3 linked regions of the Caenorhabditis elegans genome follow. The protein of the gene in region 1 purifies or fractionates together with the protein of each later gene. This does not show direct contact. Each region holds a gene or a part of one and is shown on either strand. Other genes may lie near its edges.

Region 1 (4,427 bases):
TGCTTCTAGATCAGCTCTAATGAATATTCAATTTAAACCAGAGGTGGGCGGATATTTTTTTCGGATATTTTCTAATAATGAATTTATCAATAAGTATTGATGTAGTTATTCTGGAAGAAATGTATCCGAACAAAAGAGTAACTATTAAGCAACATTTTAATATGATAAAACCTAGAAAAATTCTACAAGTTTTCTGTATAAACGATATGCAAGTCCATTATCCGATATCCGTAATATCCGTAGTATCCGATATCCGATGTTGCTCGGCTAATAAGTTTTAAGGTCTCGGTAAGGAAAACTTGTAGAATTTTTCTAGGTTTTATCATATTAAAATGTTGCTTAATAGTTACTCTTTGGTTCGGATACATTTCTTCCAGAATAACTACATCAATACTTATTGATAAATTCATTATTAGAAAATATCCGAAAAAATATCCGCCCACCTCTGATACTCTACTGATACTGATACTCTGATACTGACTACTCGATTCTATATTCTCATTGAAATGTTTGAAAAACAATCGTACAAAAAAAATGTATCCGTAAAACCCAAAAGAAATGGAAATAAATAGAAGAGCATACATAAATTAAAATATTCTCAATAAATACAGTATGAATTGGGTCGGAGGAGAGTGGCTTATGCATCACAGCAATCAAAGGGATAACATGATTTGCAAAAAAGGAATCATGAATCTCTAGAAAAATTAGTGGCTTGGTGGTGGTATTGGAAGCAATAAAAATATCAATCTTGAAGATCTCTCGAATAGGAATAAATTACACAATTTCGAAATTTTCCGAGTTGAAAGTAGTCTCCACTGAATAAGTTACCGGCGATCCATCATTTTTCACAACTTTTTGTACAGTAATCGGCACAAACAAGTTTTCAGAAGTGAATCCAACGGAGACAGGGAAGAAATGATCACAATGGCCATTTGGAACTGAGAATTCAAGGGTTCCCGAAGAGTTCGAGCTGTCAATCACAGCTAAGGACCAAACAATCACGTTCTTCGTCTTGTGGTACTCATATTCTCCATCACACTCACCAACGGATGGAGCTGTCGCAGTTCTGAAAAATAATACTTACTCACATGATATGGAATGATAAAGGTGCCTTCGAATATTTTTTCTGTTTTCATTCAAGCAAAACCAACAAAACGATAAGCCGGAAAATTGTAAACTGAACGAAAATTTTTGGGTTTTTGAAAACTTAAAATTTTTTTTTCAGATTTTGGAAAAACCAAGAGAACTAAAAGGTTTTTGTTGGAAAACACGGCAGGACTGATATGTATACCAAAATTGTCAAAATAAACTTTGAAAAACTCACGGAAGTGGCACAATGATGCGAACATTGTTCAAAGTGATGTCCTCTCTTTGCAATGTGTACTCAATATTGACTTGGACTCCATCAGATGATTCTTGAGGCCAGCAATTGACTGAAATTTGCAAAATGGTTGAAAATTATACCAATACAATTGTGAATTGTTTGTCTTCTAACTTACAAGAAATTGGCAACTGCTCTTCTTCGGAAAGTGCCATTTTCCATTTGAGAATTCCCACATCTGAGTTAACTGGATATGGTTTTCCGTTCGGCTTAATTTTCAGTGTCGACGAAGATTGCCATTCCTTCTTATCGAGATTTGGATGAACTTGAAGTTGAGTTCCAGCTGCAGATCCATTATTCATTTTAATTGAAATTGGAATAAATTCGGGAGATCCAATAGAGAGGGTAACAGTGGCTTGTACTTCTCCTGATTCGAGCCCTCCATCACGACTGACACGGGTATTAATTTTCTCTTCAGTTCTAACGTGAACGACTTCTCTCTTGACACGTGGAGCTGTGGAGATCGGTGCGGCGAGAGAGGAAACTCCTCCTGAAAATTATAAAATTTATATGTAAAATAAATTTAATATCAAAAAAAGTTGATTACCTGAAAGACTAGCTTTCTGTACTGGTGCAATGCTTTGACCTTGTTGTCTCAATGTATCCAAGAAATCATCTTCATTATTCGTTTTTCCTCCCAACTTCAGTGCCTTTCCACCTCCAATTGGTCCCTTCGGTGCCGATGGTCGTGGAGCCGCTGGCTCAGAAACTGCAGCTGCATTTGGAGTGGATGATGAAGAGATTCCTGTGCTTGATTGATAACTTGGCTTGAGCCCTCTGCTCAAAGCCTCCTTCTGAGCTCTCTTGAGTTCCTTGGCCTTTTCAGCCATTGCCTGCTTGGCAGCTTTCTCTTGAGCTTCCTTGATCTGCATAAAAACTCTTTCCTCATGAGAATCCATCTCTGTGAAAGTTCTGATTTGAGCAAGATTGACGCTCTCGCGGTATCCGAGAGTGACGACCTCATCGAATGCAAAAATCAGATCAAAATCGTGAGCAAGAATCTCTTTCTCCTCATTTGAGCGGCAATACTCTGGAATGACTCGTACGAAAAGGCGTAAAGTTTCCAAGTCCTCGAGAATGTTCGAGTTTTTCGTTGTCACCAACACAAGGTAAATGTTGTCCAGAGGGTGATAAACGTAGCGGACGCTGTCTGTCTCGACAAATGTATGTTGACGAGTAGCTGAAAACAATTTAATGTTTAAAAATCAGAAATAAAATTAATGTCTAAGGGTTTCCAATATACATAGTACTTTTTTTAACTGACCAGCTTCCTTCTCATTCCCAATAAGCTTCGGGAAAGCATCAACGAGCCCTTCCAAACGAGATCTCATCATGTCATTTACGAACTGCCGGGCAACAAGCAATTTTCCCGTCTTCGAGAGGATGCAAGCGGCGATCAACACCATTGTGAAATACTCTGAAACGAAATAATGGCATCGAAATGGGAAAAAAAGCAGAAAAATTAAGTACACGTTGGTTTTACGCTTATATGCTACGGGAAAGTTTAATAATTAATTTAATTGTATTACATTTTAGTTAAGTACGGTTATCAATATTAAATATTGAAAACATCTAAACTTATATTGTTCTGTGAAGAGTTCCAATAAAAATCGAGTAAAAATTCGGAAAAACTAGGAAAAAATCGTGTGAAGTTTTGAGATAATGATGGAAATATATTAAAAATTTTGTTGATGCTTCAAAAAACTTAAAGTACGGAGTACGACACCAATAATTTCAAATTTCTCTAATTACGTCGCCATTTAATCCAAATTCAATGAAATTTAAAGTGTATAGCATATTTAGGGACATAAATAACTCGATTTTCAATTAAAAACAAAAAATTTAAAGCTAGAAACTATTAAAAATCAGCTTAAAAGATGAAAATCTCCAACGAACAACCAGTGAAACGTCATTTCGTTGCGAGACCTCCCCGCGGCCGCTGACCGGGAAAAGGGTAGTTTTAGGCCATGAGCAGGAAAAACTTTTTTGGCAGGCATAGAATTTCTTTGAGTGCACATTTGATCAAATATTTGAGAGAAATTTTATGAATTAAAAAAATATTCGCGACTGAAAAAATTCTAGCAGCAATCTTTTTTTTGAGAGAGAATCGATCAGTTTTTCAATCGTTTTTAAGCACTTAAAAAATGTCACACGTGAGAATTTAAATTAGGTTCATGATTTGAATTCAGGGCAAATACTGTTTTACTATTTGATCTTTTGGAAATTAAAATTTTTTCAACACAAAAGCCAACGCCAAAGAGAGGAAGGGTCTGAAGAAGGTCTCAGCGACAGGATCGAGCCAAAATGGCTCAGCGAGCGAGTATACTCAGACAAACGCTTAGTAGTTTAATTAGATTTCAACCATATTTGATTAGAAACTGAGCAAATATAATGGGGACATAATTAATAGGCTTCCTATTCTAATCCAATATGGATTTTCTAATCAAATATGGTTGAAATCTAATCCAATGTGGAACAAATCTAATCCAATATGGCCGAAATCTAATCCAATATGGAACAAATCTAATCCAATATGGCCGAAATCTAATCCAATATGGTCGAAATCTAATCAAATATGGCTGAGATCGTGCCATATTGGATTAGATTTCGACCATATTGGATTAGATTTCGACCATATTAGATTAGATTTGTCTTCTAATGAAATATGGAGGAAATCTAATCTAACATGGATTTCTAATCTAATATGGAGCAAATATAATGCAATACGGATTTTCTAAACAAATATGGTTGAAATCTCGTTTAATAGACAGGTGCGAGTCACGGCTAACCGACTCAAAATCACTGCTAATTAGGCAAAACGGCCAAAAAACCAGAACTAATTAGCTTAAAACCATGGCTAATTAGCAAACCATTGCTAATTAGCAAAAAAGCAGTGCTAATTAGCAATAATACACAGCGCCTCAAATCTGGAGAGAACAGCGAAAAAAGTGGTTTTGGAGCGGGAGCGCGTTTGCTGCAGACGTCGCACGAATTGGAATTAATGTATAGCAAAACAGTAAAATATCGCGTTTTTGCTGGATTTTAG
Region 2 (4,703 bases), on another chromosome or scaffold:
CAATTATCTGATTTTTCGCCTATTTTTTTTTGACAAAAATCGCGGAATTTTCAAGATTTCGGGGTCTAAAGACGGTAATTTTCTAACTTTTTATCTTTTTTTTTTTCAGAAAAACGCGAAATTTTCACGGTTTTGGGGCTTTTGGCGTCTAAAACTCGATTTTTTTGAGAATTTTGATAGGTTTTTCAAGAAAAAATAAAGATTTAATTATTTTTCAGCTTATTAACGAAAAAATTGCACAATTTCCAGGTTTTGGAGCATTTTTTTCGAAAAAAAAAAACTCAACATTTTTCATTTTTTCAGGCTATTTTTCGAGAAAATCGCTGAATTTTTAAGGTTTTGGGGTCTAAAAATCGTAATTTTCCAGTTTTTTCGCTAAAATCGCACAATTTTTATGGTGTTGGCGATTTTTTGTCCATTTTTTCCAGGAAAATCCGTCATTTTTCCAAGATTTTCCTCACCTAACGGCTGGTGATGATGACTGAAGAAGATTGTAGACACATCTGATGAATCGGGAAGCCTCGTTTGGATTATTGTGGCAAACCTGAAAGAAAATTGGAGTTTTTGGATGATTTCGGCCATTTTTTTTCAGTTTTTTCGGTTAAAATTGGAGGAAAATCATATTTTTCGATAAATTTATCGTATTTTCGTTGAAAAAACCAATTTTTAGTTAATTTTAAAATTAAAAATCGATTTTCACACATTTTTATAGTGAAATTTCTAGATTTTCACGATTTTTCTGAGATTTTTGCTTAAAAGTTCATATTTTCATTCAATTTTCATAAAAAGCGACGTTTTAAATGAAAATTCTCCGTTTTTTTAAAACAAAAATAGCCTGTTTAACAAGTTTTTCTCAAAAAATCGATATTTTCAATCAATTTTCTTGAAAATCGCCGTTTTTAATGTAAATTCTCCATTTTTCAACGAAAAAACGCCATTTTTATAGCTTTTTTACTCTAAAATTCACATTTTCAGTTAATTTTCATAAAAAAAGTGCCGTTTTTAATGGAAATTCTCCGTTTTTTAACAAAAAAAAAAACCCCATTTTTACAGGGTTTTGTCAGATTTTTCCTTAAAAAACCGCAATTTTCTTGAAAATCGCCGTTTTTAATGAAAATTCTTCGATTTTCAACGAAAAAAACCCCATTTTTACGGGTTTTTTCTCAAAAAATCGATATTTTCAGTCAATTTTCCACAGAATGCACCTTATAAATGAGTTCAACAATAACGAGCTGCAATATATCTCCAAAAGATCCGACTTGATCGATACATCCCGATAAATAGTCAAGAGCACGAGCTTGATCTACGTGAAGGAGCATCATAAAAGCGTTACGCTTGCACGAAGCATCTTGCTCCTGTTCAAGGTATTCTGTGACGAGCTCCGGTGCGTCTGGGATCAGGAATTCAAAGTTTTCTGGAAAAAAAGCGGGATTTTTGGATTAAACGGGGAAAAAATGATCAAAAAATGCGAAAAAATCACCTAATTTTAGCTAAAATCATTAATTTTGGTCAATTTTCCGGTCCCGAAGTTGGTTTTTTCTCAAATTTTCACCTTTTATTGCATATTTCCATTGATTTTTCGTTAATTAAGGTGCATTTCAAGACCAAACTCGCATTTTTAGCTGAAAAATACGATTTTTCCTGGTTTTTTTGCAGAAAATATGACATTTTTAGCTGGAAATCTGCAAGTTTTTCAGGTTTTTCCCTGAAAAATTCGATTTTTCTGCTTAAAATAACGAAATTTTACGTATTTTTAGCTTAAAACATCAAAAAGTCGAATTTTTTTTCCATCTTCCAGCTTAATAATCGATTTTTGGCAACAAAAATCAGACAAAATGCTCATTTTTCAGCTGAATATTGGCATTTTTGCCGTTTTTCAGCGAAAAATAGTCAGAATTTCGTTGGAAATGTGATTTTTCTTGAAAAATCATGAAAAATCGTATTTTTCAGCAAAAAAACTGAAAAAAAAACCCCAAATTTTAGCTGAAAATGGGATTTTTGCCATTTTTGGCTGACAAAATCGCATTTTCAGCTAAAAATGTGTTTTTTGGCATAAAAATTGTAAAAAATCGTATTTTTCAGCTCAAAAAACATGAGAAATCGCAATTTTCACCAAAAAAAACTGAAGAAACCTTCAAATTTCGGCTAAAAATGCGATTTTTGCCATTTTTGGCTGAAAAATTCGCCAATTTTCAGCTAATAAAGGGATTTTTTCGCAAAAAATCGCAAATTTCACCGAAAATGAGCCTAGAAAATCGCATTTTGGAGCAAAAAATCAAAAATCTTAAGAAACCCTCAAATTTCGGCTAAAAATGCGATTTTAGCCGTTCTTGGCTGAAAAATTCGCCAATTTTCAGCTAAAAATGCGATTTTTTGCAATAAATGTACCTTTTATCAACTAAATAACGTAAAATATGCAATAAAAGGTGAAAATTCTTGGAAAAAAGTCATTTTTCGCATTTTCAAGCCCATTTCAGGCCTAAATAAGCCCAAAAAAACTCACTATAAATAGTGAAAATCGCGCAGACAGCGTTACGACGAACATACGAGTGCCGATGCTCCAAACAAGCTCTAATCGCCGGCATAAGCGGCTCGAGAAGCTCGGGCTCACGGAGTTTGCACAAAAACCGAAGGGTCGAACCGCGAACGAACTCATTCGGGTGTTGAAGGTCTTTTCGGTAGGCATCGCACACCAGAATCATCTCGTGGAGCAGCTTTCCATTGGAATCCGTCTTCGGAACACATTCCCAGAAGATCAAGAGCACTTTTTTAAGGGTGTGCTCATTGGATGGAAGACAGAAGCGGATGACGTACATTAGCATGCTCTGCGACGTTTTTTCTCCGTTTAAAATCATGTAAATGAGCTTTTTGAGCGCCTCAATTCGCTCTTTATCGCCTCCTTTCTCGAATTTTTCCTTCAATTGAGCTTCTGATGGGAGCTCAGCGTCACTGGGCACGTGGATGAGTGTGTAGCATGGTTGCTCTCCGGAGCTCATTGTGGAGGAGCTGGAAATTCGGGTTTTTTGTGGGGAAAAGAAAGAAAAAAGTAGAGAAAGTTCACGTTTTAAAAAAAAATTTGTGAAAAAATTGAATTTTCCAGCTAAATCGCATTTTTCTGTGAAAAATCATCGAAAATCATCGAAAAACGCCAGAAAATGAATAAAAATCGTCAAAATACGCTGGAAAACCCCCGAAAATCGCCTTTAAGCATGAAAAATGCCCAAAAACGTCAGAAAATGGATAAAAATCATCAAAAAACGCTGTAAATGACAAGAAAATCACTCTGAAGCATGAAAAATGCTCAAAAACATCAGAAAAATCAAAAACATCAGAAAAATTGAATTTTTGACCATTTTTAACCCTAAAACTCTTCGAAATCCAGCTGAAAACCCGATTTTTTAGTCAAAAATTCCGTTTTTTGGCGTAAAAATCGGAAAATCCCGGCTTTTAACCTAAAAATTAGGTGTTTACTGAAAATTTCCAAATTTTCGGCTAACAATCCCCATTTTCAATCGATTTTTTCCATTTTTCACTGAAAAAATCAATTTTTTAGCTTAAAAATCGAAAAATATCGGTTTTTAAGCTAAAAAATCAGATTTTTACTGAAAATTTCCAAATTTTCGGCTAAAAATCCCCATTTTCAATCGATTTTTTCCATTTTTCACTGAAAAAATCAATTTTTTAGCTTAAAAATCGAAAAATATCGGTTTTTAAGCTAAAAAAATCAGATTTTTACTGAAAATTTCCAAATTTTCGGCTAAAAATCCCCATTTTCAATCGATTTTTTCCATTTTTTCAGTAAAAAATGCCAAATTTTTTACTAAAAATGCAAATTTTCTGACTGTTCTTGTAAAAAAATTGAAAAAATTCAATTTTTTGGACAATTGTATGCAAAATTCGCCTTTCCCTCGGTTTTTTTTTGTGGTAAAACCCCGCGAAAATTCGCTTTTTTTGCCTTAAAACTTAATTTTTAATGGAAAAAAAAACGCGAAAAGTTGCAAAAATCCACAAAAAATGCGATTTTTGTTAGTTTTAGCTGAAAAAAATTGCATTTTTCAGCTAGAAATCTGAAAAATCACACAAATTGTTGCTAATAATGCAATTTTTGCCAGTTTTGGCTGAAAAAATTGCATTTTTCAGAAAAAAATACTGAGAAAACCACCAAAATTCTGCTGATAATGGGATTTTTTGTCGTTTTTGCCTGAAAAAATCGCATTTTTCAGCAAAAACTGTAACTTTTTCTGCAAAAAACACAGAAAATCGAATTTCTAATGGAAAAAAATCGCAAAAATCCACAGAAAACTACGGAAAAAGTTGCGAAACTTGATTTTTCACAAAATTCTCTCATTTCGCCTGGTTTTTATTGATTTTTTGACAGAAATCTAGGCTTTAAAGCTGTAAAACCCAATTTTCAACGACAAATTGATTTAAATTGACCTAATTCAACGCCACGTCACTTTTCACTCTTTCTACCTGTTTTTTATCGATTTTTGCCGCTTTTTCGACTGAAATATAGCTTTAAAAGCTTCAAAAATCAATTTTTAACCTCAAAAACCCACGAAAAAACGAAAAAATCCGCTGAAAACCGGCAAAAATCCACGTAAATCGCCGGAAAAAGATTGGAATCTAGATTTCTCGCACAGTGACGTGGTTCTCGCCATCCACCGTACCCCGTGACACAGCGGCGGGCAAATCGTGGCGAG
Region 3 (5,242 bases), on another chromosome or scaffold:
TATGAAAAGTAAAATGTTTAAAACTAACAAGCAACTACATTTCCAATGCCTTGAGAAAAAACGTTATTATCAAGAAACACGACAAACATTGGACCTTTCATGTATAGTACCTGAAAGACGATTATTTGAAGTAACATTCTCAAAATTTCAATTTCAAGTTCCAATTTTCTATTGTATCGTACCGGCTGTGCAATTATCTCTACTGCAGAGTACAACATCGAACAAAATGTGAATACAAACATAACATGACGGTAACTACCAAACAGTTTTCCAGCTCTTTTCACAATTAATATTGCCAGAACAGTATTGAAGATTTGTGCTCCGAAAAAGCCGGCGTAGTGGAAAATATGTAGACCGATCATTGTTGTAAGTGAACTGGTGGAGAATGAAGTCTGAAGTTATTTCTGAAAGGATGACGTCTGAAAAAGACTTCTTGAAAAGTGATCTTATGTACTTTACTAAATCACCATATGGTGAGTAAATTACCAATTGATGTTTCAATGTTTCAATTTAAAAGTTCATAATAATGATTTTAAAAAACGGCAATGATGAAAACAGAAAAATAAGACGGAAACATTACACACTATACATTTTACCCTTTGTTGATACTTGTGCAGATTAACGGGGGAGGAAACAACTAAAATCCAACAAAATAAAATACTCATTATCATCATTATCTAGTAAAAAAGATGTGGGAACCAATTAGAAATCACATGAAACGTTTGGGTGTGTGGACAAAAGAGATGTTGGGGGAAAAGCAAGAAGTTGAGGAGAACCGAAAAAAAAATTGATAAATTAATCATAAATTAAGGGTTGGGGAAATCTAGTCGATAAGCTTTTTCGACTTGAAGTAATTACGGAGGAAAAGAACTTGCCAAATGGCAAGACCAAGAAGGCACAGCATTGAAAAGATGGACAGGTAAAGAACTCGGCTGTTTGTCGATTCTGTAAAAAAAAGTAAAAAATAGATGGTTGTCGATGAATCGAATAATTAGAGTTTGCTCAAGTAAAGTGGTAAACAATTTCCAGGGATCACAATATCCTGCTCCGTGAAGAGAATGAATTGCGTCTCGAAACGATATGTTGTAGCCTTACAAATCTATTTAATTAACAATGATAATAAAAGCTTAATACAGTGCTCCACATAATGATACGGCCACCCCCAAATTTTGGTATAACTCAAAACTGGGTTGAGATAGCAAAACATAATTTCTTGTGAAAATGTCCGCTGTACTGGCTAACTTTCAGATAAGTATTGGAAATATACATGAACCGTTCGTAAAAAAAGATAAACCATTTTTTCATGAAAATCCATATAAAAAAATCCACAAAATGATACGGCCACCCTTGGTTTTTGTTTTCTTTTTTCGTTTTCTTTGCAATTTTTTTTTGCTAAACGTTAGGTTTTATGTTCGTTTGTGTTTTTACAGCTATGTGTCGTGGAATAACTTTAACTGACTACGGAAAAAGACGAATTGTGCAAAATTATCTCAAGGCTTTTCGGATCGTCAGATTTTTCGTGATTTGAAACGTTCAAGAGATATGATCACTCGATTTGCTTCAAATCCTGCCACTTATTGCACCAAAAAGTCTTCTGGTCGCCCACCACTTCTTTCTGGTAGAGACAAGCGAAAAATCGTTCGTCTAGCATCCAATTGAACAGTGACTTGCTCAAAAATTAGGCGCGAGATGAACCTGCCAGTGTCTGTTGAGACTGCACGACGTGTTATTTCGAAGTCTCAGTTTATCAAAAGACGAAAATTAGGAAAGGCTCCTTTCATTACCGAAAAACACTGCCAAAGTCGTATTCAGTTTGCTAAAATCAGCCAGAGAACTAACTGGAGACAAGTGAGGATTACGGTATGATCATTCAAGCTCATGTATTGGTCTCAGATCATCTTCAGTGACGAGGAAAAGTTTAACTGTGATGAACCAGAAGGCTACCGTGATTACTGGTACGATTTGAGAGAAGAAAAGATGAACTAAAACCAAAATTGGGCTTGAATGATCATACGGTAATCTTCACTTGTCTCCAGTTAGTTCTCTGGCTGATTTTAGCTAACTGAATACGATTTTAGCGGTTTTTTCGGTAATGAAAGGAGCCTTTCTCAATTTTCGTCTTTTGATAAACTGGGAATTCGAAAGAACACGTCGTGCAGTCTCAACAGACACTGGCAGGTTCATCTCGCGCCTAATTTTTGAGAAAGTCACTGTTCAATTTGATGCTCGACGAACGATTTTTCGCTTGTCTCTACCAGAAAGAAGTGGTGGGCGACCAGAAGACTGTTTGGTGCAATGAGCGGCAGGATTTGAAGCATATCGAATGATCATATCTCTCGAACGTTTCAAATCACGAGAAATCTGACGATCCGAAAAGCCTTGAGATAATTTTGCACAATTTGTCTTTTTCCGTAGTCAGTTAAAGTTATTCCACGACACATAGCTGTAAAAACACAAACGAACATGAAACCTAACGTTTAGCAAAAAAAATTGCAAAGAAAACGAAAAAAGAAAACAATAACCAAGGGTGGCCGTATCATTTTGTGGATTTTTTTATATGGATTTTCATGAAAAAATGGTTTATCTTTTTTTACGAACGGTTCATGTATATTTCCAATACTTATCTGAAAGTTAGCCAGTACAGCGGACATTTTCACAAGAAATTATGTTTTGCTATCTCAACCCAGTTTTGAGTTATACCAAAATTTGGGGGTGGCCGTATCATTATGTGGAGCACTGTACTTGGATAATCGGCAATGCATTATTTTTAAATTAAAATAATTACGAACCTTTTATATGATTCAAATGATTTTTTAAACACTTACCGTTCGTATTTCTCATTTCTTCCTCTCTTTGGCGCATGAATGCGAAATCTTTGGTGATTGAATCAGCCATATCCTCCAATCTTCTAAGTTCAACCTCGAGTGGCTTCAGCTTCTCGGCTTTGGCAATATCATCATAATTCTTGGCTTCGACTCCGTGCTTCAAAATAAGAGAAACCTCGCGCTTCTCTCCAGGATGCCCAGCTGGTGGATGATTCTCAATGCAAATCTCAAAGATGTCGTATTCGTCAGCAGTGAACGCGAATTTTCCTTTTAGATCAGCAAAGTTTTCACGTTTGTAGAGAGTGTGGCCTCTGGTGTCGGTGACCTGAAAATAAATTAAAAATTTGAAGTAATTTTGAAACTATTTTTACTCACGTGAATACTTCCAGTGTATTGAATTCCTTGACTGAACTCATATTCTCCTGTTACGACCACATTCTGCAAGAGGTTTTATTAGACATAAATTCTGATGTTTATTAAATATATCAATTTTTAACGAAAAAAAGTATGTTTGACATCTTTACTGCTATGGTAACAAGGAGTTGTAAAAGTATTTACCTTGTGAATTTCCTCTTTCAGACACTTTTTCTCTTTTGGTGGCACGTAGAACCTCAGAGAATGGGCAAGAACGATAGCTGACAGAAAGATAACTAGAGATTTCATAATTGTTCGGATGATTACCTGGAAATAAATGTAAGAAAAATGCGATAATGAATATTAAGTTGTTCAAAAGTTATCATGGACAAAAATCAGTTCATGTTAAAGGAATACACAGCAAAAATCAATACAAACGCCGAAAATAAATTTAAAAAAGATGGAATTAAAACCAACGCGGCGTATGCAGTTGCGCGTGGGATCGAGTGTGTACGCAAACACGCATTGGCAACCGTAGTTGAGTTGTCAACGTTGACAAACGCATTTTAACAGGAAAACACAGCGCCTCAAATCGGGAGAGTTAAGAAAATCGAGAATAGGAAAGTCCAACGGAGCGCGTTTGCACACTTTTACGGTATTAAATGAGTTTCAGACGAAATTTCGCGATTATTCGAGTTTTCAAGATGAAATTTGGAAAAAATAATTAAATATTGGGATTATTATTGCTTTAAAAAAGTTTTAAAAAACATTTTATTCAACAAATTCACGATTTGGCTGCTTTTTCATTGATTTTCGAACCGACTAGAACAAGTTAACTTTATGACAAAATTTCTACGCGAAACAAATTTTTTCAAGCATTAATATGTTTGATTCCAATTTTTAAACGTCAGCTTGATAGAGATAACACGGTTTCACGTCTTGAAATTGTTCAAAAATGCCCACATCAACGGAAACTGTTTAGTTGGCAGCTGATCTTCACTAAACCAACACTAAATGTTCAGATCAAATCACAACTTGTTTGATCATTTGAAAAAACATTTTTGAATCATTGTTTCCCACAAAAAGCAGATGATAAGTAGTATAGCATGATGAGAATCCATTAGATTCTTCATATGCGCATAGCTATAGATACTGTATCTTCGACAACTCCTATCTCCTCAGAGATGCAAGATATCAAAAAGTGATTAACTAGGAAATTGTAGAAACTATACTAATTAGTTAAAATCATGTGTTTATCTCTTAAGATGAGGGAGTTAGAGCAGCCAGTAGAATAACAAAAAGCATGCAATACAAATGTACGTCTAACTCCCCCATCTTGAAAGATAAAAACGCAGGTTAAATTGAATATCATAGTTTTTGATGTGCTCTACAAGTTCTCTCACCTCTCCGAGTAGATAGGAGTTGTCGAAGTTGAGGTATCTAGAGCCGTAGAGGGCAGGAAGAACCTGATGGTTCCTTATTAAGAAAAAGAAAATATAACACGAAACTTGTAAAAAATGTTAATTTGATCATTTATGTGAGTATTTGATCCATTTTTTAAGGAAAATTGGAGAGCAACACTTGCATAAGAAATTTGGCGTGGCATAGATCCATTGGTAGATTGGAACATTGAAATTTGATCAGAACTATTTGTACTTTTAGTGATTTTGATTGATTTGTAGCTTTATTCTAGTGAAATCTTTGATTTCATACAAGTTTTTTAACCAATTTTGCAAGATTTCCCTTGATAAATGTTGCTTTACTTTTTTATCGATTTCGTTGTAAAGAAAAATCATTTTCTGTGTTATCAGTCAAATTAATGACTAAAACACTTTAAAAAGATTCAAACTATTAGTAAAAATTCTAAAATTGAATATTTATGCAATAAATTGCTCTAAAATCAATTTTTATTTGCAAAATTCTGTTTTTGGTCAAAAAAAATTTTCAGATCCGCCGAAATTCAGAGCTCATTTCGAGCTTATTTGGGGGAAAATTTATATTAAAATGAAGTAAATCGCATCGCGAACAGTCTCTGGGCGGTCCCGCATGTTGAAAATTGCTTT

The links.
Region 2: the proteins of copd-1 (region 1) and copb-1 fractionate together in Caenorhabditis elegans (co-fractionation; one large-scale study listed by BioGRID). This does not show direct contact.
Region 3: the proteins of copd-1 (region 1) and tmed-10 fractionate together in Caenorhabditis elegans (co-fractionation; one large-scale study listed by BioGRID). This does not show direct contact.

The regions. Positions count from the first base shown.
Region 1 is NC_003281.10:6,622,175-6,626,601, forward strand, and holds copd-1 (putative coatomer subunit delta), read right to left. Parts: upstream 2,799-4,427; 5' UTR 2,788-2,798; coding exon 2,646-2,787; intron 2,562-2,645; coding exon 1,929-2,561; intron 1,872-1,928; coding exon 1,500-1,871; intron 1,434-1,499; coding exon 1,325-1,433; intron 1,120-1,324; exon of another isoform or gene 1,067-1,119; coding exon 775-1,066; 3' UTR 526-774; downstream 1-525. Other genes in the region: C13B9.2 (glycerate kinase type-2 family protein), read left to right, coding at 1-20. UniProt on the Caenorhabditis elegans protein: The coatomer is a cytosolic protein complex that binds to dilysine motifs and reversibly associates with Golgi non-clathrin-coated vesicles, which further mediate biosynthetic protein transport from the ER, via the Golgi up to the trans Golgi network.
Region 2 is NC_003280.10:3,077,099-3,081,801, reverse strand, and holds the start of copb-1 (Coatomer subunit beta), read right to left. Parts: upstream 3,007-4,703; 5' UTR 2,997-3,006; coding exon 2,504-2,996; intron 1,415-2,503; coding exon 1,206-1,414; intron 545-1,205; coding exon 462-544; intron 1-461.
Region 3 is NC_003283.11:11,323,459-11,328,700, forward strand, and holds tmed-10 (GOLD domain-containing protein), read right to left. Parts: upstream 3,507-5,242; 5' UTR 3,489-3,506; coding exon 3,384-3,488; intron 3,264-3,383; coding exon 3,201-3,263; intron 3,151-3,200; coding exon 2,826-3,150; intron 946-2,825; coding exon 824-945; 3' UTR 507-823; downstream 1-506. Other genes in the region: str-141 (Serpentine receptor class r-10), read right to left, coding at 29-110, 183-362.